Kluyveromyces lactis: one gene and its partners. The protein of the gene in region 1 interacts with the protein of each later gene in a biochemical or structural test. Links are inferred from orthologs where the notes say so. Each region holds a gene or a part of one and is shown in the gene's direction. Other genes may lie near its edges. The genes, in order: SIC1, CKA1, CDC53, HOG1, CDC34, CKS1 and KLLA0_D15565g.

Region 1 (2,913 bases):
GTGGTAAACCAGCCGCCGAATTGATAGTCATTCTTTCACTGTTCTGATCTAAGGCGCCTATTCCGAAAGATGTTTGCGGAGGAGCATTGATGTTCCTTTTATTCATCACGGTCTCTTCCACCATTGATGCTTGCTGGTTGAACAACTGATCTCTCGCATTAATTTCTGAGTATTTTTGCTTCAATTCGGTAAATTTCTCTTTTGCATCTTCGTAATCCTGTGTTAAGGTCTGAAGTCTCGTCTCATACTTTAGTTTAGTTTCGTCGTTGTCATCTGAACTATTTATTTGATATTGCTTGTATTGTTCCTTGTACTGATGAAGCGTTTTCTCGAAAGAAACAAGGGTTGTGGCGATCGCCCCTTGCAAAGAGATCGGCGCTGTTACGAGCTCTTTCTCAAATTTACCCAAGTCTTTATTTAGAAGACTTCGCTGCTTGATGGCATGATTATACAACGCGTTCTAGTGATATCGTGGGAAACAATAATTAAGGTAAGTTAGTAAATAAGTAACACATACGCGACGCGTGTCTATAAATGTAGAAATACAATTAGAGCAGCGCTCCAGCGAAACATACCATCTTAGCCCTGTTGTGATCGCAAAAATTCTTGATCGCTAATGAAGATCCAAAAGATTCAAGAAAGGAATACTCTTGAGAAATACAGGAAAATGCTGAGTCAAACGTTGAGCGTCAATCGTCAATTCTGATCGATCTGAATTATCCCAATGCGTATGAATGTTCCATAAACTTTCTTAGTTTCCAGTGGTTCCACTGCTCACAGACGCAATCCTTGTTTAGAAGTTATTTACTGCTACTCAAGTATGACTGCTAAATTGTTGCTGGTTCAATATTATTAGTGGTTCACATTAAAAAAAAAATTAAAGATGCTGGTTTTGAGTCTCACATATATCTATATATAAAGATAGTTTAACAGCGAACCATATCCAGCATAGAGCGGTTGCATACGCACCTAAGTAATCGAATCAGAGTCTCTTCATATCAAATTCCTTCTTGACGATAGTGAGGTTACTGGAAACTGGTTTCAACCTACTCTGCTTTTTGCTTCATTATAAGTTGCCAGATTTTCAGTCCGTTTTGTTTTAGACAGAAAAAGGGATATCATCGGTATAGTATACATTCTATACCATCTTTGCTACTTTTCATTTAGATCTCATCAACACACCGATACATCTGAAAACAATATCAATAGCTTTCAATTGGTAATACTAGAGTTTATCCTCTTTTTTTTTTGCATTCTACGCATTACACTCTTATTTCCATAATAATGACCCCAGCTACCCCTCCAAGTTCTAGGAATAAGAGATCAAATAAGACAGATTTGCTGCTCGCAACTCCAGAGCGAGCCGCGGAATCTGATTCCTCTGGCATGGTTACTCCGGGGACAGTTAGAGTAAAGGATAGATTGCAGCCACCTACTAGACCCATGAATTTAACAAGTCCATGCCCGGCATTAAAGACACCTGAATATACCCCACATAAGAACAAACATACGAAACGCAGGATAGAGTTTGACCAGGAGAAGTTACAACCTGTCAGTAGGGTCTTGTTCGGATCGGATTTCCAAGTAGAAGAAACTTCAAACAACAGGACTTTGCTACCACCAAAGAGAACCGGTATAATGGAGTCTTTCAAAGGCGTTCAAAGTTATAATATCAATGATGAGTATGCTGTCAATAACAAATTCAAACTTGCTAAACAAGAGCCAGGAACTCCAAGTGACAAGATCACCACCTTTGAACTTGCTAGAAAATGGCATAACGAGTCTGGTCTGAATACATCGCAATCAGAAAACGAAGAAGAAAATATTCATATTGAACAACAACCTACGGCAGTCAACCAACATAGTAATTTAGAGAATCCATTTCTTTCGAATAATATTGCTGATGAAAAACTGCGAAAAGAACGTAAAGAGAAGATGCTACTTGAGGACCCTGATTTGGAAGATACAATCACTTATGTGAATAAAGGAGGGAAGGTCGTTTCTAAAAGACATTTGACTGACGATGAGAAACAAAGGTTTAAACCTACGAGACTCTTTGCTGAAGAAATAGATAGGCATGATGGGTAGGTAAGACACATGAATAAAACGGGTTTTTATTTTTTATTTTTAACTATAGCTAACGGTACCGACACAATTCATAAGGAAAGAAGGGTATGGAATTCCCCTGTAACACTACATAACAAAAACTGCTAAAACATCATATTTATAAATACAATACTTACGATAATTTTCGTAGAATATTTCAGTGAAATAAGATTGTCGTTTTTGATCGTCGCAGAGTGTTAATTCTATGTAAAAGTCATATATATTAACAAAAACCCTTCATCAACCCCTGGATGATGGATTTGATCCTTTTCTCTTGAGTTCTTTGAAGATTTTCTTTCTATGCCTCAACAAATCTTCAAATACTTTGTATCCAAGTTCATTAGCTGTTGGCAGAATTGGATGTATTAGGCAATTTGCAAACTCTTGGCTAATGGCATCCCGTAAATTTTCTGCAAGTTCTTGACTTTCTTCAGATTTATTCATTCTAATGATTTCAATTAGTCTCTCGAAATGGGTTGTGATCACATCTAAGGTCACCATATTGGATTTTGATAATGTGGATAATGCAGTGGTAAGACCACGGACCCTTTGGTTTTCGGTTTCTTCTTTTATGTCTGATGGTGGATATTCTCGATATAGAACTTTGAGAATGTCATACGCATCCTCTGTTATAAGCGATTTTGGTAATTCGAGCAAATAAATTTTGAATACGCTAGCTACTGTTGATGGTTCAACCTTTTTAGATCGTAATATTTCGATGATTTCAGACTCTTCTTTGAATGGCTTGATTAAAAGTTGCCTTAGTTGATGAACTTCGTGAAGTTTAACAGGCTTTGTCCATACAAT
Region 2 (3,143 bases), on another chromosome or scaffold:
AAGCTTTTGTTTCCATGCTTCTACTTTATTTTACTAGTGTAAGCGATACTGGCAATGTCTCTCAATAGAAAAATATCATCGATCGTATTGAAAGGAAAACTACGAAAGAAATCATTAAAGGAGTAGAAAGGGTAAATGTAAATACATCAAGCAAACTGAAGAAAACTCATTGAGCGTGGTAACTAGTTGTAAATATACTGAAGATACGGAACTAGAATGTCTGTGGACGAGAAATATGATGCTGCTTGCGAGCTTTTATACAGATTGGATCCAACAAAGGTGAAAACCCATTTACAGAACCTTATTGCGTTGGAGCCTGAAATCGCAGAAGGATTACTTTCCTCAATTGATATCCCATTGACCATTAAGAAGGATACCGATGCTAACAACAAAGAATTCTTATGTTGCGACTACAACCGTGACATCGATTCTCATAGGTCACCGTGGTCTAACCAGTACTTCCCTGAATTGAGTGCCGAAGATTTGAAAGAAAGTCCTTTTCCCAGTGAGCCATTGAGAGAACTAGAAGTTGCATGCAACAATTCTTTCGAGTTGTATAGGGACCTATACTACGAGGGTGGTTACACTTCAACGTATCTCTGGGACGTTGATGAATCAACTGATTTCGCGGGAGTCATTCTTTTCAAGAAAGCTGAATCAGATGATTCTAAATGGGACAGTATCCACGTCATATCTGCCACCCACGATGAAGAGGGTATGGAAGTCACATATAATGTCACTACAACGGTGATCTTGCACTTGGAAAACCTATCAAAAGAACAACAACTATCATTGTCCGGTAATCTAACTAGAGAAAATTCCAAGACCGTAAAATTGCAAAACGTATCTACTGTTGAACAGCTAGTACCCGCTCACTCTTCCAGCTTGGGATCTATGATTGAAGATATTGAATCTAAGCTTAGATCAATGCTCGAAATCGTGTATTTCGAAAAGACGTTGGATATTTACAACGTGTTGAGAGAACGTAACGATGATTCTACCAAATTGCAAAAGGAGCAACACTCCGAATTAATTGAAAACTTCCAGAAATTATAATCAATTGAATAAATAAAGTAAGAAATTATACACACATACACTACGTATAAATGCTAAATGAACACCATTATATTTTGCCGGTTCGTCAGTCAACACAATTATTGGCTAGAATTGTTCTATACATAAAACCGTTACCCTAACTCCTCATACTGTAGTTTCGAAATGTCAATTTTTGCAAGAGAGACATGAACTGAAAAGAAATCAGATAACCCAGAAATGAAAATTCCAGTTTGAGTATAGGCATTACAAAAGCTTCAAACGTACTGGATTATATACGGTGAGTGGTTTGGATTTCTCGGACTCATTATTACCACTGTTTATAGAAATAGAAAAGGTCAACAAAAAACTGGCTGGCAATCGTTCTCGTTGTTAATTTCGTGGTAGTTTTAGAGACTTTCCAGTACATTATTAAAAGGAAGATGAAATCGAAAGTGTGGAGTGAGGCAAGAGTCTATAGTGATGCCAACGAGATTCGTGGTCAAAGATACTGGGACTATGAAAATACATCAATAGAATGGAAGGCTAATAACTCACAGTACGAAGTTGAATGCAAAGTTGGCCGTGGTAAATATAGTGAAGTTTTCCAAGGCGTACAGTTATCCACGAGAAATAAGATTGTCATTAAGATGCTAAAACCTGTGAAGAAGAAGAAGATTAAGAGAGAAATTACCATACTTGCAAACCTCTCGAATGAGAAGAATCCGCCAACTGCGCAACCTTACGATGAGGCAAAATATTACACAAACAGAAGAGAAGAAGTACTGAAATATGCGAGAGATAAAGTATATGACTTACCTCATAACGGGCATGAGAATATTATAACATTGTTAGATGTGGTCAGAGATCCCATATCCAAGACACCTGCATTGATTTTTGAACATATCGACAATACGGAATTCCGTAGGTTGTATGCTTCATTTTCGGATCTTGATATTCGTTATTATATGTTCGAGCTTTTGAAAGCTTTGGACTACTGCCATTCGATGGGTATTATGCATAGAGACGTCAAACCACACAATGTAATGATTGACCATAAGCAACACAAATTGAGACTAATCGATTGGGGTTTGGCTGAATTTTATCATCCATCGATGGAATACAATGTCCGCGTTGCGTCAAGATTTTTCAAGGGCCCAGAACTTCTAGTTGATTATAGAATGTACGATTACTCGCTAGACTTATGGTCATTTGGAGCAATGTTAGCATCAATGGTTTTTCTGAAAGAGCCTTTCTTCTATGGGTCGAGTAATACTGACCAGCTAGTCAAGATTGTACGCGTCTTGGGTAGTGATGATTTCGAAAGATATTTACAGAAATATCAGATAACACTCCCAGATGAGTTTATTGATATGGATCAATACATCAGAAGACCATGGCAGAAATTCGTCAATGATTCCAACAAGCACCTATGTGGAAACGATGATATCATTGATTTAATCGATAATCTTCTTCGTTACGACCATCAAGAAAGATTTTCTTGTAAAGAAGCTATGGCTCATCCATGGTTTGCTCCAATTAGAAACAACGAATACACATTATAACCGTTCCATAGATCAATATTTTTATGAAGTTAATAATAATAATAATACTAATAACAACTGTGTGAGCTTTCCTATAATAAGTGTTGGAGGATATATTTTGATCGGGTGCTTCTAAATCTACGAATTTATTATTGACATTCATTGAGAAAGTTTTCAGATGTTGTGGAACTGTTTTGATCCTGAAGCTGAGCCCAGTCAAGCATTTGAAATTCTGCAATGAACGTTTTGTCTTTCAACATCAATAACTCACTCTGAACATACCTCTTGCTTTGAAGGATATTACATCCGTCACAATGAACTTCTCTGCAGTGTTCCAAAATCGATGACAAAATCTGTAGACAGAATCTGAATGCTAGTCCGAAATAGGGAACAATAGGAATTGTTAATCTTTTTCCGAACTTCATAAGATATTCCCACCTTTTCTGGAAAATAACGTGAAAGGCAGAATCCGTTCCTGCCTTTAAATCACTCCAAAATGTTTGTGAATCCAGTAATTTCTCTTTGATCAATAGTTCCATGGTGTATAGGACATGACAAGCAAACCGG
Region 3 (4,595 bases), on another chromosome or scaffold:
AATTGAGTAATCAACGAGACAAGAATGAGTGGCTTAAATACGTTTCCCAACTCAAAGCTTTTTACTACTTGAATAAGGACTCTGCGAAACAATCTTCGGAAACTCATTCAAGTGACGATGGGAGGTTTCATTCTATTTTAAACAAGGGGAGAAATAGTGTGAATAGTAAGAAAAACTCTTGGGCTACCCTTGAACAAAGAAAAAAACAACAATGGTTACCAAGACTACGAAGACTTTTATTGCAAAGTCAATATCTACCTTTGTCGTTGAGATTTCTCATTGTGATACTCTGCATAATCTCTCTTGGCCTAGCAAGTAGAATATACCAGAACTCGGATTCCACTGTCGAATCCTTCGAATCATCAATACCTCAACAACCAAGTACTATCATGGCGCTATGTGTTAATTCCATCGCTATATTATATTTGGTTTATATCGGATATGACGAATTTTCAGGGAAACCGCTAGGAATTAGAGATCCTATGACTAAAGTCAGACTAATTATGCTGGACCTTTTATTCATCATATTTTCAAGTGCTAATTTATCGCTTACCTTCAATACATTATATGATAATCGATGGGTCTGCACATCTACTGGAACGTCACAAGTTGATCCTCCGCACGTAGGATATATATGTGACAAACAAAGGGCGCTCGCGGCGTTCCTTTTCTTGGTCTTGGTCACTTGGGTTGTAACGTTCAGTATTAGCATATTAAGGGTCGTGGAAAGAGTCAGTTCTGGTGCTCCAAGACCCTAAGACTATTCTTGAAACGGGCCCTTCCGACTTAAGACGCCTGTAGATTAATTGTTTTAAATAAATCATTATTCCATGAGAGTACATAATTTGTTTACAAACCCAACAAAAGAAAATCAAAAGTACCAAAGAAAACCTTATAAACATATAAGTTTGGGCCCTGTATTAAACAACATAATTAGACGACTGCAGTATGCTAAAGTATATTTGCCGAAAGCTGTAATCCTTACCCTCTTTTAAGTACTTTAATAATAAGATCAGATTCATATTGAGGAACAATTCAGGATTTTTTGATATTCCAATAATGTGTGGCAAACGAAAACAAAAATATAAGAAATTATAGTAACATAGTATGCAATTATATAAATCAGTATATAACAAGTAAGGCTGTCAAAAAGGGTCAAAATATCGAACAACTCGGAGATACTTCACGATAGAAGCAATATAAAGTTTTCCTGTGTGACCCTTTTTTATAGGATCCCGCCAACAAGTGGTGCATTTCATATTTAGCAGTGAAGGCGCTTTCTATTCTGTTTTATCCTTTCTTTCGATTCATTGAAAAGGGTTGCTCGACTAATTGGGACTCGAACTGTATTTTCTATCGCTGCTGATTTCAGTTTACTACCAAATCTTTATTTACAAGTACCGCTACCTGCGCCCTTGGGAATACTATTATTCTAAAGCGTATATTTAACTGGGTTAGTGGGAAGCAAGTCTCATTAACGCTTCAGAAAAGATAACTTAGGCATCGTTCAATAGAAATATTACTGGTAAAAGAAACTACACGTGCAATCAATAAGAAACAAGTCTAATAAGCTATGGCAGACACATTACCTAGATCAGATGATTTGGAAGCAACATGGAACTTTGTGAAGCCTGGGATCGACCAGATCTTGGATCGTGATGGTACATCGGATATAAAGACAAACAGAGTTCAGAAAGTTCTTTCCCCAAGGATGTACATGGAGGTATACACGGCGATTTATAATTACTGTGTCAACAAGTCACGTTCTACAGGTCATTTCCAATCTGATATTATAGGGAAGCAAATGAATCAATCTTCGATTCTTGTTGGAGGAGAAATCTATGAGAACTTAAAGAATTATTTGAAAGATTACATATCGAATTTAAAGAAAGATGATAATGTAACGTTTTTGAATTTCTACGTGAGACGCTGGGAAAGATTTACAATCGGAGCTATTTTCTTAAATCGGGTCTTCGACTATATGAACCGTTACTGGGTGCAAAAGGAAAGAAGCGATGGTAAAAGACACATTTTCGATGCACATACTTTGTGCTTGATGACGTGGAAAGAAGTTATGTTTGAAACACATAAGACGGAACTCGTTACTGAAATATTCGATCAATTGGATTTGCAGCGGAGGGGTGAATTAGTGAATAAATCTGCTATTACAATAGCAATAAAATCCTTTGTGATATTAGGTATCGATCCATCAGACTTAAAGAAGTTGAATTTGAATGTGTATATTCAAAACTTCGAACAGCCATTCCTACAGAAGACAAAAGAATACTACACGAAGATGTCCAACGAATTCTTAGACTCTCACAGTGTCTCTGAATACATCGAAAAGGCAAATGAATGCATAATCTTCGAAGAAAAGGACATGATTTTATATTTGGATTCCCATACATCGGCACCATTGTCTACAGCTTTGAACCAAGTTTTGATTGCTGATCATGCCGATAAGTTAAAAAAAGAGTTTATTTTACTTTTGGATAAGCAAGATCAAAGATTGATTAAGCTCATATACGAATTGATGAAACGCGATTACCGAATGTTACCAGATTTGGTGGATACTTTTGATATGTACATCAAGAGAGTCGGAAATGAAGAAATCGATAAATTAATTGATGCACATAATAAGAGTGCAGCACAAGATTCAAACGCTAAAAGGCAACCGGGATTATCACCTAGAGATTACTTGAAATGTTTAATAGGAGTTTACAAACTCTTTTACAATATCACCATAGAATGTTTTGAAAATCATCCTGCTTTTGCTAAGGCTTTAGACTATGGATGCCGTTGCTTCATTAACAATAACTCATTCGCTATTCCTCCTGGTTCACCTAAATTTGCGACTTCTAGAGCTCCTGAGATGTTGGCGAAATACAGTGACCAGTTGCTCAAAAAGTCGACCAAGAATAATGAACAGGTAGATTTGACCGTGGATGATATCATGACTGTCTTTAAGTTCTTGGCCGACAAGGATGCATTTGAGATGCATTACCGAAAAAATTTAGCAAAAAGATTAATTCATGGATCATCAAAATCAGAAGCTGATGAAGAAATCATTATCCAAAGACTACAGTCCGAGAACAGTCTTGAATACACCAGCAAGATTACCAAGATGCTACAAGATGTCAAATTATCTAAAAACTTGCATGATGAATTTTCCACGTTCATTTCACAAGATGGGAATAATACTACTAGCGCCGCAACTTTCAGAAGCAAAGTTCCTGAATTAGAACCTCTAATTCTTGCAGACAATGTATGGCCCTTCAGCTATCAACCAACAGAATTCGCATTACCACCAGTTCTTGAACATAGTAAGAACAAATTGGAAACCATGTATACTGACAAGCATTCTGGTAGAATATTGAAATGGCTATGGCCAATGTCTCGTGGTGAAATCAAGGCACATATTGGTAAACCAGGCAAACCACCATTCCAATTCACTGTGACTATTTTCCAAATGGCGATTCTTACCTTGTTTAATGATATATCTACGTTGACCTTTGAACAAATACAAGAGAGAACCAATTTGAAGGCTACACAGATTGCGTCTAATATGTATCCGTTTGTGAAGATGAAACTATTAATACAATCTCCAGAAGGGGTGGAAAGTATGATCAAGTTAGATACAAAGTACACCTTAAACAAACCCTATCGATTATCGAAAACTAGTGTTAATTTTGCAGCCGCTGTGAAAAATGATCTAACCTTTACTGCAACCGTTAATGGATCTGCATTAGATGAAACAGAGGCATCTGAGCAAAAGAAAGCAGAAAAGGAACTAAATCAACAAAGATTGATGTTCTTAAGAGCATGCATAGTGAGAATTATGAAGGCAAAGAGAAAACTACCACACAGTTCATTGATGAACGAGTGTATTGCCGAATCTCAACAGAGATTCAACGCCAAGGTGTCCATGATCAAAAAAGCTGTCGACAATCTAATAGAACAAGAGTATTTGAAAAGGACAGACGACGGTGAATGCTATGAATATCTAGCGTAAACGCTCACTTTTTTATCCACCTTTTACTTCGCCATACATATGTATAAGAAATGTATATGTATCAACATATATTTCGCAACCATTCGACCATTCGACCAAAGGTCAACCTTGGGCCCCATATTTTCAAGCATGAATATTCCCAAGAAAAAAAGAGAGACATCATGAAAGGACCGACGAGTATACTATTCATTACTCAATAGCCAAACCTAAATGCTTGGGTAGCCCTCTCTGCTCTCTTGCTGCTCTCACTACTCTCAGTGACTACCTTAGCATCATTCGGAAGGTGTTTGTCAATACCTGCTGCAAAAATCTACGTTCATCGGATTTAAAATCCACAGGAATATTCACGAAAATTGGTCATGATTAGACTTTAGCTCGAAATTGAGTGGGAATTTTACCATATTTCTTTTCATTGACCATATTTCAATTATGGGAAAGAAAAAATTCAGATTTCAGATGAGTCAAGCCATATCAAGGCAGTTTCGATGACATGAATGAGTCTGAAAAAAAAAAAAGGAACTGCTCTACATTTGATGGCAGGTGTTTCTTTGTCTAGTTTATATGCTCTCAGGTTCGACTGTTT
Region 4 (3,631 bases), on another chromosome or scaffold:
GCCAAGATCGCCCGTAATAACCCTTATAGTGCTCAAAGTTCAGTAATAGGCAAATAACGCACGCCCGCATCGAAGATAGCTAGCAACGCATATCTATAGTAACATAGGCAAGATATTAAAAAAATCCCACTCCAGATGAGAAAAAATAAAAGATGGTCTCATTCAAGATATCAGATAGCGAGCGATATGAACTCGAAATTTTTCAGGTAGAACTGAGGGGGAGATTATTTTCTACGAGCAATTTTCTACGCAATACTACAAGGCAATAGAATCCACGAAAAAATTACGTAGTTGCTGCGGACTCTTTTTGTTTTGATTTCCGTTGTTTTGGTTTTATAGTTTTGCGTAATCTTCTATATTTGGTACCCTGTAAAAAGGTTCTAGACTTTGGGCATTTCACTCTTTAATCAGATTCGTTCCCCTTTGTCTGCTTGCTTCTGCAAGATGGTGTGCTTTGTTTACCCTGTGCGATCGCGTTTCAAGGGTTCCATGATAGGGCTTTAAAGGCGCTAATCACAAATCTCAAGTATATCGTCGTATTCCAGAGTCGCGGGTTCGACTCATGTTGAGTGTAAGTCAGATCAGTCACCAGTAGAGAAGGATGTCATGGCTTGATTTGTAAATAGACCCTGGAAACGCCGATAGTAGGTTACAAACTACGACAGAGCGTCAAGGGCGCGGCCGGTGGGTTTTACCTACTGCAAATCATCTCACGGTTCGTCCATTTTTTCTATTCCATGCCTAGAAAACCAAGAGGTGTGATTTCCCGGGTAACATCAAGTTACTAATCCGTTTCTATGCATCTATTACCCTGTCTCGTAAGTTTTCTTATCAGATCACGTTGTATGTAAGTAGGCGGTTTCAAACCATACTTTATTCAAATTGATGTCTGTCCAAAAACTGTCATTTCGACTTACAAAGAAACTTTAAATGAGGAAATGTATAATTATTGATCAAGAAGTACCTTTAACGTTTATGGTCACCAGTATTAATATGTAACGTCACGGTATTCACAGGTGTGCAATAATTGGGTGGTCTTCTCAAGGGTTTCTTACTTGGTTTATCACGTGATATCAGTAGAAGTATTACCCGGATGTCATGTATCATAATCCGCCACTGCCCCTCCTGTTCGCAAATCTTACTCTACATACATACATGCATACACATATAATAACCCAATCTATCAAGCCGACGTCGATCCTATCTGTCAGAGCTGTTGTTACGTCTTAAATAGGAAACAAGTACACAGGCAGTATTTCAGGGTTAATCACAGAACCAAACGGTGATAAAATCTTCGAAACAGTGTTTTATATAATTCCCACTGTGACACTTTCCCCTCCATTATCGGTGAATGGACATCGTTTTTTGCCAGGCCCTTCCTTTTTTTTTTAGTGAATTAGAACCGTTGAATTTCATATTCAAGTCGTTAAATTTAAAAAATTGAAAATTAAAGAAAACTTGATAGAAACAAAACTAGGAGACCCTTCGACAACAATTGCTATAACGTTGCTTAAGTTATCTGCCAGTTCGAGCGATCTCCCAAAGAATTAGATTCATATACGTATCCTTCGTTGAACCAAAAACTCGAGGATATCGAAGCTGGACACGTTTTTCCAATTGAAATAAAATGTCGAATGAGGAATTTATTAGGACTCAAATTTTTGGTACAGTTTTCGAAATTACCAATCGGTATACTAATTTGAACCCGGTTGGTATGGGTGCCTTCGGGTTGGTTTGTTCTGCTACAGATACGCTAACAAGCCAGCCTGTAGCGATTAAGAAGATTATGAAACCGTTTTCTACTTCCGTACTGGCAAAAAGAACGTATAGGGAACTCAAATTGTTAAAGCATCTAAGGCATGAGAATTTGATTTGTCTCGAAGATATCTTCTTGTCACCATTAGAAGATATTTATTTCGTCACTGAATTGCAAGGGACGGATCTACATAGATTGTTGCAGACAAGGCCTTTGGAAAAACAATTCGTTCAATATTTCTTATACCAGATCTTGAGGGGGCTTAAATACGTTCATTCCGCAGGTGTGATCCATAGAGATTTGAAACCTTCCAATATCTTGATCAATGAGAACTGTGATTTAAAGATCTGCGATTTCGGACTTGCTAGGATTCAAGATCCTCAAATGACTGGTTACGTGTCAACCCGTTACTATAGAGCCCCAGAAATCATGTTGACCTGGCAAAAATATAATGTTGAAGTAGACATCTGGTCTGCTGGTTGTATCTTTGCCGAAATGATCGAGGGTAAGCCTTTGTTCCCAGGTAAAGATCACGTGCATCAATTTTCTATCATCACTGATCTATTAGGATCGCCTCCAAAAGATGTCATAGACACTATTTGCTCAGAGAACACTCTCAAATTTGTTACTTCATTACCTCATAGAGATCCTGTACCATTCAGTTCGAGGTTCCAGAACTTGGAACCAGATGCTATAGATCTTCTAGAAAAAATGCTTGTGTTCGATCCAAAGAAGAGAATTACAGCAGCTGATGCCTTGGCCCATCCTTACCTTTCCCCATATCATGACCCAACCGACGAACCTATCGCAGAAGCTAAGTTTGATTGGAATTTCAACGATGCTGACTTACCTGTTGACACCTGGCGTGTAATGATGTATTCCGAGATCTTGGATTTCCATCAAATCGGTGACCCACAAATCAATACAAATGCTACTTTCGACGACCAAGTAGCCGCTGCCACTGTCGCCGCCGCGGAGGCTGCCTCTAAGCAACAGCAGCAGCAACAACACCAAACTGAAGAGCAAACTCAACAGACAATCGCCTCTACTCCTCCCCAGGCTCAAGTGACCCCACAACAACTTGAAAGTGGCGCTAACTCTAATTCCAATTCTAACCCTTCTTTCTCTATTGGCCCTGATCCAGCAAACGAAACATTGACGAATTTTGCTAATCAAGCAGACCAATACGTCTCCAAATTCAAATAAGTTCAATGTAATGAAATCTGCTTGACAGAAGTATATTCTTTTTTTGTTTTTATTTCGTATTATATAAAGCATCTTTTAATCACAGCAGAAATGTAACTATTTACACGTTTCTTACGATAAACCGAATATTATTTATAATTCTGATAGGGCATCTCAACTAGGAAACAATTGCTTAACAAAATTATTACAAAAGTACTTAAATAAACAAAATCTCTGTTATGATAATACAACTTGAGGGGGTTTCACTCCGTTAAGCCGGCTTCAAGACATAACGAATAGAAAATAGAATCCTTCTTCTGTAACAAATTCTGAGGAGTGTCGAACTCTGTTACTCTACCTTTATCCAACACTATAATTCTATCACTGTCCATAATTGTGTTAATCCTGTGAGCAATTGTTAAGATTGTTCTTTCCTTAAATGCGTTTCTAATCGTCTTTTGGATCAATTGATCCGTTTCAACATCAACAGCTGCAGTTGCTTCATCCAAAATCAAGATATTACTTGAAATCAACAAGGCACGAGCCAAGCACATCAATTGCCTTTGGCCTACACTTAAATTACTACCACCTTCAGTAAGCATGGTCTCCAAACCATTAGATCCCATACCCAGTATGTGATCCTTCAAGTGTGATAAAGCCAATGCATTCCAAATTTCTTCATCGGTATAC
Region 5 (2,981 bases), about 270 kb from region 1:
AGTACTTTGGACGAAAACAAATTTCGGCACACAAAGAAAAGCGCGCAGACGAGAAAACATATAGCATCGAGTTGCAACTCCAACACGCCGTCGCGAGATACAAATCTTATAACGTTCCGAATGTGAGGACGGCAGGATCTCAGCAAAACATCCACCTTGAGGTGAATATGTAAGGGAATTAGGCCTGTTGAGCTATGGTGAAGTGCTGTATAGTTCAAAATGGTACGATTCAGACTTGATGAGCGTTATTGCCCTATGGCTCAGTTCGGAAAACCTTACGAGAATGAGAAAAGAAGGAGATGGTGATTGGTGTTCACGTGACCTAAGGTCACGTGAACTTTTCCACTGTTCCTATCGGTGAAAGCGGCGAGTCTAACGTTTGCTGACGCCGAGCAGAATATACTACTGCCCGATGAAGAACTAGTCTAGAGTATAAATAAGAATCTTGAACGTAACAACTGACTACCAGAGTTCTCCGATTCACATTTAATCCTAGTGTTCAGCTTATCAGTTAAAATGCACGCTCTCACAACGATGCGGTAGAAGTGATATTTTGCCGGATGCATTAGATACATTCGAAAAAATTGATGTAATTGGCCCCCGCATTCCCCATCAATTGGAAAATAAACATTCATGCGTAAATGTTGATGCCTTAAATACTGTTACTTTCATCCATGGATTATTAACGCATACCTGGTTGTGCAAATCAACATGAATAATGCCTGGGGACGAAAAGCTTACAAGACGGTAAAAAATATAGAGACATATAGCTATAGTATAAATATCGATTAAACCCCCAACCTGAACAATAGAACGGTATCTTCCAAGAGTACACAACCCAACGGTTTTTGCTTATTTTGTCTTGGGACGGTTTTTCTTGACTTTTCGGCATTCAGCTTGGTTCTTTTTTGTAAACCAGTTTCAGAAGAAATTTAAAAGGTCAAAACACAGACAACTATTAATTTTAATTACAAATTATTGTATTTGCATTTAAATGAGAGTATCAATAAACAGGTGATAAGGAGAGGTTGCATAGACTTTTGGGCGGGTATACTTGTACAAACGCAAAAACTCACACTACTCAGTTGGTATATTGTATTGTCCTATCTTTTGTTTGGCTTTACGTTTCATTACTTTTTTCTTTCTCTTCCTAACGTTTTTGTTAAGTTCTAGCAACATATTATTGTCAAATTTACTCGGAGATATCTTATCACTGAGGAACACCAAGCAACAGTTACTTCTAATCGTCAGCCCTAATAACTGAACTTTCTTGGTCTGGATATATCAGTTTTGGAAAAAGGGGGAAGTTTCAATCAGCACACAGAACATCTTTTTACCATAGAAATACTCTTTCTAAAGTATGAGCGGCAAGAATACTGCAGCTTCTTTGTTATTACGACAATACAGGGAACTCACTGATCCGAAGAAGGCTATTCCTAGTTTCCATATTGCATTAGAAGATGATTCAAACATATTCTTGTGGAACATCGGTGTAATGGTCTTAAATGAGGAATCCATCTACCACGGAGGTTATTTCAAGGCTCAAATGAAATTCCCGGACGATTTCCCATTTTCTCCTCCAACTTTTAGATTTACTCCAGCAATTTACCACCCGAACGTTTACCGTGATGGTAGGTTGTGTATTTCTATCTTACACCAATCGGGGAACCCCACCTCGGATGAGCCCGATGAAGAAACTTGGTCTCCAGTACAGACTGTGGAATCAGTGTTGATTTCTATTGTCTCCTTGTTAGAAGATCCAAATATTTCCTCTCCAGCTAACGTCGACGCTGCTGTTGACTACAAGAAGAATCCGGATCAGTACAAACAAAAGGTAAAACTCGAAGTGGAAAGATCAAAACAGGATATCCCGCAAGGGTTCGTGATGCCAGAATCAACAAAGGCGTATGTTTCCCAAAGAAAGGCAAATGAAGGTATTGACACCATCAAAGAAACCGTTGCCGATAATTTCTGGTACGACAGTGACGAAGGTGATGAAGATGTGGATATCTATGCATACGAGGATTCAGAAGATGAAGAGGATAATGACGATGTTTTCAGCAAAGATTCTTCAAACTTGAATTTCAGCAAAAAAGCTAACAAAAACGATATCGACTCAGATGAAGATGAAGATCTGGTGCCTGAAGAAGCAGAAGATTCTCTAGATGAAAGCGTAATGGATAGAAGAAGTAAATTAATGGAAGAAAGCGAGGAGTTAGAAGATGCAGAAATGAAATGATATGAATCCCTTACAACTTTTTTATTCCCTCAGAAGCAGTGCTTCTCAGCGTATCACATTCATTCACATTTCTTTCCTCACTACTGTCTTGTCTTTCTACTTCAATATACAATTATAAACACACGTTGAAGTTTGGTTACTACTGTAGTGATATACTATTTTGACCTCCAGTATAAATTCATGAACCTGTAACAACTTCAACGTCTTTATTGATTTTGTTTGGAGCATTCGCACCTCTAAATGATGATTGTCATAACCAAACATAAAACTGGAAACTGTCCTTTTTCAATTCACCATAACGCTGAATCTACATTTCAGCCCCTCAGATATTATATTGGAAAGTGAACAACTAACGATGCATCAAGTAACTAATAACTTAATAACACTTTTCGATGACAGTAACCCTAGCCGGTGCTGTGTGCAATATCTATGGAATGTTTTTTCTGGTTTTGGACCTCCATCAGGATATGAGATATAAGGGGGTTGTAAGAAAGACAAAGGAGGAAATGCCTGAAAGATTTTCAAATGGTATGAATTCGAACTTTAGAAAGTTCCTTGGAAATGAGTTCTAATTATGTGAATTGTCTTGACAACTATGCATCCTTCATTTCTTTTCTTTCCCGTTTAATCATGCATCAATCTCGTAAACTTGTTCGGACTGATGATAAATCACTAAACAACACATTTCAATCTAACATCTTTACAAGATCACTATAATAATTTCGAATTTTCTTCAACATAG
Region 6 (2,366 bases), on another chromosome or scaffold:
GTGTAGGTTCAATTTTGAGTTTATCCGTGTATTTCTCCATACCATGTAAAACGATAGCTAGTTCGCCAAATGTTGATGCGTTACCGTTAACACGTTGGAACTCAGTGATTAAATGCTGATTAAATTTATTCAATACAGGGTAATTGTATTGATTTGTTGTGAATATGGATGCAGAGATCAAAAGACATGTGACAGGTTCGCTCAGCCATCTGTTTAGCACAAAACTGGGAGTCTTCTGTCTAGGTAGAGCTAGAGATACAGTCAATTTAGGCTCGTATCCGCACATTTTCCTGATCGTGTTCCACAGTTCCCAAGTCGAAAGTGGATCTGAATCTTCAAACAAAGGTAACGAAATAGATATTGTCGGACACGCTTCTTTAAAAGTATCAAATACTGTACACAAAGATTGTGCGTAGTAATGAAGCGTGTGTAACTTTTTAGGAGGAGCTAAGATAACCTGTCTGATTCCAACGAAATTTGCATAATGCAATTCGTGCTCCAACACTTGCAAAGATAAAGTCCGGACATCAGCATCATGGCTCTCGAGCTCTAAAAAGTAAGAGACCAATCCAATATATGAAACATTTCCATTAGATGGCAATACCCCCAGCTCTTGCAATTGAGGAGGATCTAACTTTAGTTCTTCATTCCATCCATGACCGTGATCTCGAAAATCTTCAAACTTGGCCTTCATGGCATCCTTGTATCTGGTATTTGTCAAGGGCAGCAGCACATAGTCATAATTCTCTACTCTTTTATCTGTAGAAGAAGTTCCAAGAACATCAGCGGAATGTTCACTGTGAGGTTTGATCCCGACGAAAACATTACTTCGACTTGCCATTTCAGCACATACAAACACACAAACGCAGCACGCAGAACAGTTTCACAACAACAGTCAAACGTTTATTGGTAAACCCTTCTTCAGCTATACCGTAATTATGGTAGACACTACACCAGTGATAGCTCTGTGTCCTATTCTTTTACCTCATCTCTGACCATCAATAGTGACGGATCTGGTTTCTGTCCTAAACAATATTTATTTTCATTTTTTTTTTGTAAACAATACTATTTTAATACCTAAGATCTTTTCAGTTATGCTAAAGACATGATATGTGATGAGCGAATAAGATCCAGCATCAGTAGTCTAGGGTTAATTAACACTCCAATTGTATAGCTTAAGTTGTGATCGAATCTAACAATGTATTCGACGCACGCTTTCCAAGGCAGAAAGCTTTCTGATCAGGAAAGAACGAGAGTTCTCGAATTTCAAGATAGCATTCATTATTCACCAAGATACTCCGACGATACACACGAATACAGACATGTAATGCTTCCCAAGGCCATGCTAAAAGTGATACCTTCTGATTATTTCAACGGAGACACTGGTACTTTGCGAATCTTAACAGAAGACGAATGGAGAGGGTTAGGAATTACACAATCTCTGGGATGGGAACATTACGAATGCCATGCGCCTGAACCACATATTTTACTATTTAAGAGACCACTGAATTACGAGGCTGAAATACGTGCGGCGCATGCTGCCGCACAGCAGCAGCAAAAATCAATTGCTGCAGGCCAACAAAGTCAAAATATATGAACTACCCACTAAAGACTTTAAAATGAAATAATAAGAAAATCGTATTCCAGTTTTACGCGTTACACTGTTAATAAGAGAGAATAATGTTTCCCCAAAGATCTGCAATTCCTGGCTGCACACTTTGTGTAAGTTAGTCTTCTGTTGTCAAACTTGCAAATGGCTTAAGACGCCTGAATTGTACTTCTGGAGAAGTGTTTAGCATATGTACATACCACATTTATGTATGTGTTGAGATTCCTTATTGATACCAAAATTTGTATATAAGTCAAATTATAAATAATGAAACTAACCAAAAACAAACGCTGGACTATGAAAGAAACACAGTTTTCTCTCGTTAGGGCGTCCTAGGTGAGTGTGATTGAGAGTGCAGTTGCCGTGTAAGAGTAATATCTTCTCAGCGTATAGGAAATGGATAATCCTAGGGTAAAATATCTGGAAGAACTGATACTGGCGTTAAAATCAGCAGGAACTGTAGGAAATGGTATAGAGTTAGATAGCACTTTGCAATTAGATGAAAAGAATGGGAAATTACTACAGACATTGTTGAAGAATACGCAATCTACGAATACGGATGAGGTGATCTTTCACAAATCCTTTCAAGCACTTGATTTATTTCTGCGATGCAACCAACACCTTTTCTCAGCCAATGTTAAAGAGATTACTATGATCGAGGTTATTTTAAACAATATGGTTAGTTGTTCGCTAATGCATTGGTCCAATATGCAATATATTTGGCTTATAAACAAATACGTGAGTGCATGGTTAAAAG
Region 7 (3,414 bases), about 820 kb from region 1:
TGTGTTTTCAAATTACAGTCTGGCGCCTTAAACCAACTTGGCTACCGAGAGGAGTTACTTGAGTGACCTCGTAACTTCACCCATTATGTTCTTCTGGACAGTTTACCCCATACAGCATCAATCCCAAAGCTAATTCTCGATGCAGTAAGTAATTTGAATATCGATTATACGGTAAAATATTGGTAGTGTATACAAAATATTTGAAGTCTTTACATCCTCTCTAATTAATAGTATCGTCAATGGCCTTGTTTTCAGCCAAACCATTATTGGATTTCCCAGGTTGAATATTGTACTTGGCAGACATCACCGGGGACAAATCGTGTTTCCCGGAAGAAACTGCAACAAGAGCACCGTCTGCATCGACCATATGAGGCAAATCCTCGACCTTAGGAGCCTCATCGTATTTCTCACCTTCAACTGGACTCCCAGAAACGTATCTCTTAAATTTTTCCCACTTAGACTTGAACCCTTCCATATTCCTTGCGCTGCTTTTTATCTAGTTAATAGATAGTGTTCTTCCTAATAATCAGATGAATACAAAAGAAAATGATGTTATATCTTGGACAAAACCCCCCAAAAATCGGTTGTAACCTTACTTATATACCTACGGTAGGTTTCTCGTACTATATAATCTAACTATGGAACGGTGTACCTTTTGTCTCTTCGAGCCCTTTAATCTGATAAATCTCAATGGAGCCGTATGGCGATATCAGATTTTCATTATCTGTTCGTTCTAAGAAAGACCGACCGATAAGATAGAGGAATAGTAGCGAAAGACTGATAGAACTCGGCGAACGTCTGCCTTTTTTCCTTGGCTGTACTGGGCTGACTTTGTAAGCCGGTACGATATATGCCAGGCAAATCGCTCGAAGGAAGAGGAGTCAGCGATAATCGCTGTATGTCGCATACTAATGAGTCTCTCTCTCTCTCTCATCAGAAATAGAAAACGGGACTTTTTTCCCGTCTAAATCACGTGAAAATAAATTGACAGTTTCCATTTTGTCCGGAATACTTTGGTCACGTGATTGAGATCCGGACAACGCGAAGACGCGAAACAATTTTTTTTCAAATTTCGTTTTTGGCGTGCTGACGCGTCAGCACTTTGCGAAGATGCGAATCTACAAAGCGAAATTGGAAAGTCCTTGAACCAAGACAGGCCTGTTAGAGCTTCCAAAGGAACTTCACGAATTTTATGACCTGCTGTTAGTCTATGAAAGCGTGTATAACAGATTTTGTTTGTTTCCACTGGATATGCACGGTCGATTACTCGGTGTTTTTCTGTATATTGTATCTTTCTCGTTGTTTTAGGGCCAAGAAAGAACAATAAGAGAAAGAGACGCGATTTGTGTGTTGTCTGTCAGGTCCAAGATTTTGGTGACATTGGCTGGCTGGGTTACCGCTAACAGGTTAAGTTCTTCTCTATCCTGTTGAAACTGTTTTCATATATATATATACAGCATATATGTTTACCACATACTAGGAGACAGAACGATAGAGTATAGATTTTAAGATGAGACCGAGAACCAGGAGCAGCTGGAGTGTTAGTGACGCAGAAGCAATGGAGAAGTCTTCACACCAAAGGAAACGTGTCGCGCTATCGGAGCAGCCACTCCACGATAATAAACTGAAATCTTCAGTCGGGTCATTGAGGAATTCACAAGTCGATGAAGGTAAAAATAAGATATATGGGAACTCTTCACAGACAACGAGTTCAGTGTCGTTGAAAAGACAGATATACCGTGATGATGATGATGAGGAACAAAAATCAGATGTGCGTTCAGATGATGATATTCTAGAGCCCAGGAAAAGTCATAAGAGACTGAAATGCGAGAGCTTAGAAAGACGTAGAGAAGAATTGGACTCCCAGGATAAAGAAGATGTAACGATGTGTTATGATTATTCGGATGATATTTTTGACCATCTTTACACGAGACAGTTTGAAACTACGCCAAAGATCAATTATTTGAAGGATAAAAATTACGAATTTTACTTGAGACCGACGATGAGATCGATCCTCGTTGATTGGATTATAGAGGTTCATTGTAAGTTTCAACTGTTACCGGAAACGTTGTACCTTTCGATAAACCTCATGGATAGATATCTTTCTTTTAACAAAGTTACATTACCAAAGTTACAATTAATTGCAATCACGTCTTTATTGATTGCCGCCAAGTTTGAGGAGGTGAATCTTCCTAAGCTATCAAATTACTCATATATCACAGATAATGCTTACAGCAACGATGAAATCAAACAGGCCGAGTTTGTCATTCTGAATAAACTGGAATACAACATCGGATGGCCTAACCCATTAAATTTTCTACGAAGAATATCCAGATGTGATGAGTACGATTCAATCACTAGAACTTTGGGCAAGTGTTTAATTGGATATATGATTTCGTGCCCACACTTCATCGACGTAGTGCCTTCTAAGATTGCGTCCGTGGCAATGTTCACTGCACAAAGAATCGTGCATGAAGACTTCCAATGGGACGAATTATGGGATTATTATTCATGCTTTTCATTCAAAGATAATGAGATAGAGTTAAAAGAGTTATCACAAATTCTGATAAACGATATTGCTAAGCCAACAACACAACTTAATGCATTAATTCACAAATACAAAAAAATTGGCACATGGAACAAAATCCATGATTGGTGTTTGAAGCACTGTACTTATGAAGAGCTGAACCCTAGCGACTACGCTTCATCATCACCTGCATCTTCCACTTCACTATGATAATTTTTCACTTCCGAGTTCTTTTGGATCTTAAGCTCATTCACATCCCCGAGCTACTTTTGCGGTCTCGCATTCCCATCATTTCAAGATGTTCTTACTTCATAATCATATCCATTGCATTTTATAAATAATTAATCGAGTAATCAACTAATAATAATAGTTAAAAAATGACTTATTCATTAATTGAAATTAGTTCAGAAACATGCTAAGTGTACATAAGAAGTAAATTATTTGAAGTGGTTATACTTTAAAGGGTAAGGGGTGGGTATACCTATGATTGCAACATAATGCTGATACTGATGATCCTGAGAGAACTCTTTCTGAGTTTTTGAGCAGGTGAAATATTAAAAGTGAATTGAAGTAAAGGGTTCACTAAGGTCTAAATCCTCATTTTATCTGTTGAATGGAAAACACATTGACACATGTGGGTTGGCTAGATTAATTATTACAATGTTTGTTTTCTATTATGATTAGTATTAGTATAGTTATCGTTTTTTTTTTTTTTTGGGTTTAGTATGCTTTTAGAATGCCTCCCTTTAACGCGCAACATGTACTATTCCACTTCCCAGAAACTAATTGAGTATTGGATCAGATTGATTCCATATCTCTGACCCCGTGATTCGAATTTCTTCTTATAGGAAAAAGTCCCTCGATAACATTTCATATTGGCACTACAA

The links.
Region 2: of the proteins of SIC1 (region 1) and CKA1, one has a biochemical effect on the other in vitro, tested with the Saccharomyces cerevisiae proteins (2 studies listed by BioGRID). The link is inferred for Kluyveromyces lactis from reciprocal best matches to the Saccharomyces cerevisiae genes SIC1 and CKA1.
Region 3: the proteins of SIC1 (region 1) and CDC53 form a complex in vitro, tested with the Saccharomyces cerevisiae proteins (2 studies listed by BioGRID). The link is inferred for Kluyveromyces lactis from reciprocal best matches to the Saccharomyces cerevisiae genes SIC1 and CDC53.
Region 4: of the proteins of SIC1 (region 1) and HOG1, one has a biochemical effect on the other in vitro, tested with the Saccharomyces cerevisiae proteins (3 studies listed by BioGRID, with this or other methods). The link is inferred for Kluyveromyces lactis from reciprocal best matches to the Saccharomyces cerevisiae genes SIC1 and HOG1.
Region 5: of the proteins of SIC1 (region 1) and CDC34, one has a biochemical effect on the other in vitro, tested with the Saccharomyces cerevisiae proteins (2 studies listed by BioGRID, with this or other methods). The link is inferred for Kluyveromyces lactis from reciprocal best matches to the Saccharomyces cerevisiae genes SIC1 and CDC34.
Region 6: the proteins of SIC1 (region 1) and CKS1 form a complex in vitro, tested with the Saccharomyces cerevisiae proteins (2 studies listed by BioGRID). The link is inferred for Kluyveromyces lactis from reciprocal best matches to the Saccharomyces cerevisiae genes SIC1 and CKS1.
Region 7: the proteins of SIC1 (region 1) and KLLA0_D15565g form a complex in vitro, tested with the Saccharomyces cerevisiae proteins (4 studies listed by BioGRID). The link is inferred for Kluyveromyces lactis from reciprocal best matches to the Saccharomyces cerevisiae genes SIC1 and CLB5.

The regions. Positions count from the first base shown.
Region 1 is NC_006040.1:497,063-499,975, forward strand, and holds SIC1 (cyclin-dependent protein serine/threonine kinase inhibiting protein SIC1), read left to right. Parts: upstream 1-1,284; coding exon 1,285-2,088; downstream 2,089-2,913. Other genes in the region: BOS1 (Bos1p), read right to left, coding at 1-460, 576-578; GTPase-activating protein RGD2, read right to left, coding at 2,347-2,913. UniProt on the Saccharomyces cerevisiae protein: Substrate and inhibitor of the cyclin-dependent protein kinase CDC28. Its activity could be important for faithful segregation of chromosomes to daughter cells. It acts in response to a signal from a post-start checkpoint.
Region 2 is NC_006041.1:381,399-384,541, forward strand, and holds CKA1 (casein kinase 2 catalytic subunit CKA1), read left to right. Parts: upstream 1-1,475; coding exon 1,476-2,597; downstream 2,598-3,143. Other genes in the region: CAP2 (F-actin-capping protein subunit beta), read left to right, coding at 217-1,056.
Region 3 is NC_006042.1:536,348-540,942, forward strand, and holds CDC53 (cullin CDC53), read left to right. Parts: upstream 1-1,573; coding exon 1,574-4,012; downstream 4,013-4,595. Other genes in the region: SRF1 (phospholipase D regulator), read left to right, coding at 1-758. UniProt on the Saccharomyces cerevisiae protein: Core component of multiple cullin-RING-based SCF (SKP1-CUL1-F-box) E3 ubiquitin-protein ligase complexes which mediate the ubiquitination and subsequent proteasomal degradation of target proteins.
Region 4 is NC_006042.1:1,865,582-1,869,212, forward strand, and holds HOG1 (mitogen-activated protein kinase HOG1), read left to right. Parts: upstream 1-1,627; coding exon 1,628-2,962; downstream 2,963-3,631. Other genes in the region: ATP-binding cassette glutathione S-conjugate transporter YCF1, read right to left, coding at 3,205-3,631. UniProt on the Saccharomyces cerevisiae protein: Proline-directed serine/threonine-protein kinase involved in a signal transduction pathway that is activated by changes in the osmolarity of the extracellular environment.
Region 5 is NC_006040.1:771,435-774,415, forward strand, and holds CDC34 (SCF E2 ubiquitin-protein ligase catalytic subunit CDC34), read left to right. Parts: upstream 1-1,360; coding exon 1,361-2,239; downstream 2,240-2,981. UniProt on the Saccharomyces cerevisiae protein: Catalyzes the covalent attachment of ubiquitin to other proteins. Capable, in vitro, to ubiquitinate histone H2A. Mediates the initiation of DNA replication (transition of G1 to S phase in cell cycle).
Region 6 is NC_006039.1:1,374,383-1,376,748, reverse strand, and holds CKS1 (cyclin-dependent protein kinase regulatory subunit CKS1), read left to right. Parts: upstream 1-1,198; coding exon 1,199-1,597; downstream 1,598-2,366. Other genes in the region: HSL7 (protein arginine N-methyltransferase), read right to left, coding at 1-841; protein kinase MEC1, read left to right, coding at 2,006-2,366. UniProt on the Saccharomyces cerevisiae protein: Binds to the catalytic subunit of the cyclin dependent kinase (CDC28) and is essential for its biological function.
Region 7 is NC_006040.1:1,315,448-1,318,861, reverse strand, and holds KLLA0_D15565g (uncharacterized protein), read left to right. Parts: upstream 1-1,510; coding exon 1,511-2,737; downstream 2,738-3,414. Other genes in the region: KLLA0_D15576g (uncharacterized protein), read right to left, coding at 221-475. UniProt on the Saccharomyces cerevisiae protein: Required for efficient progression through S phase and possibly for the normal progression through meiosis. Interacts with CDC28.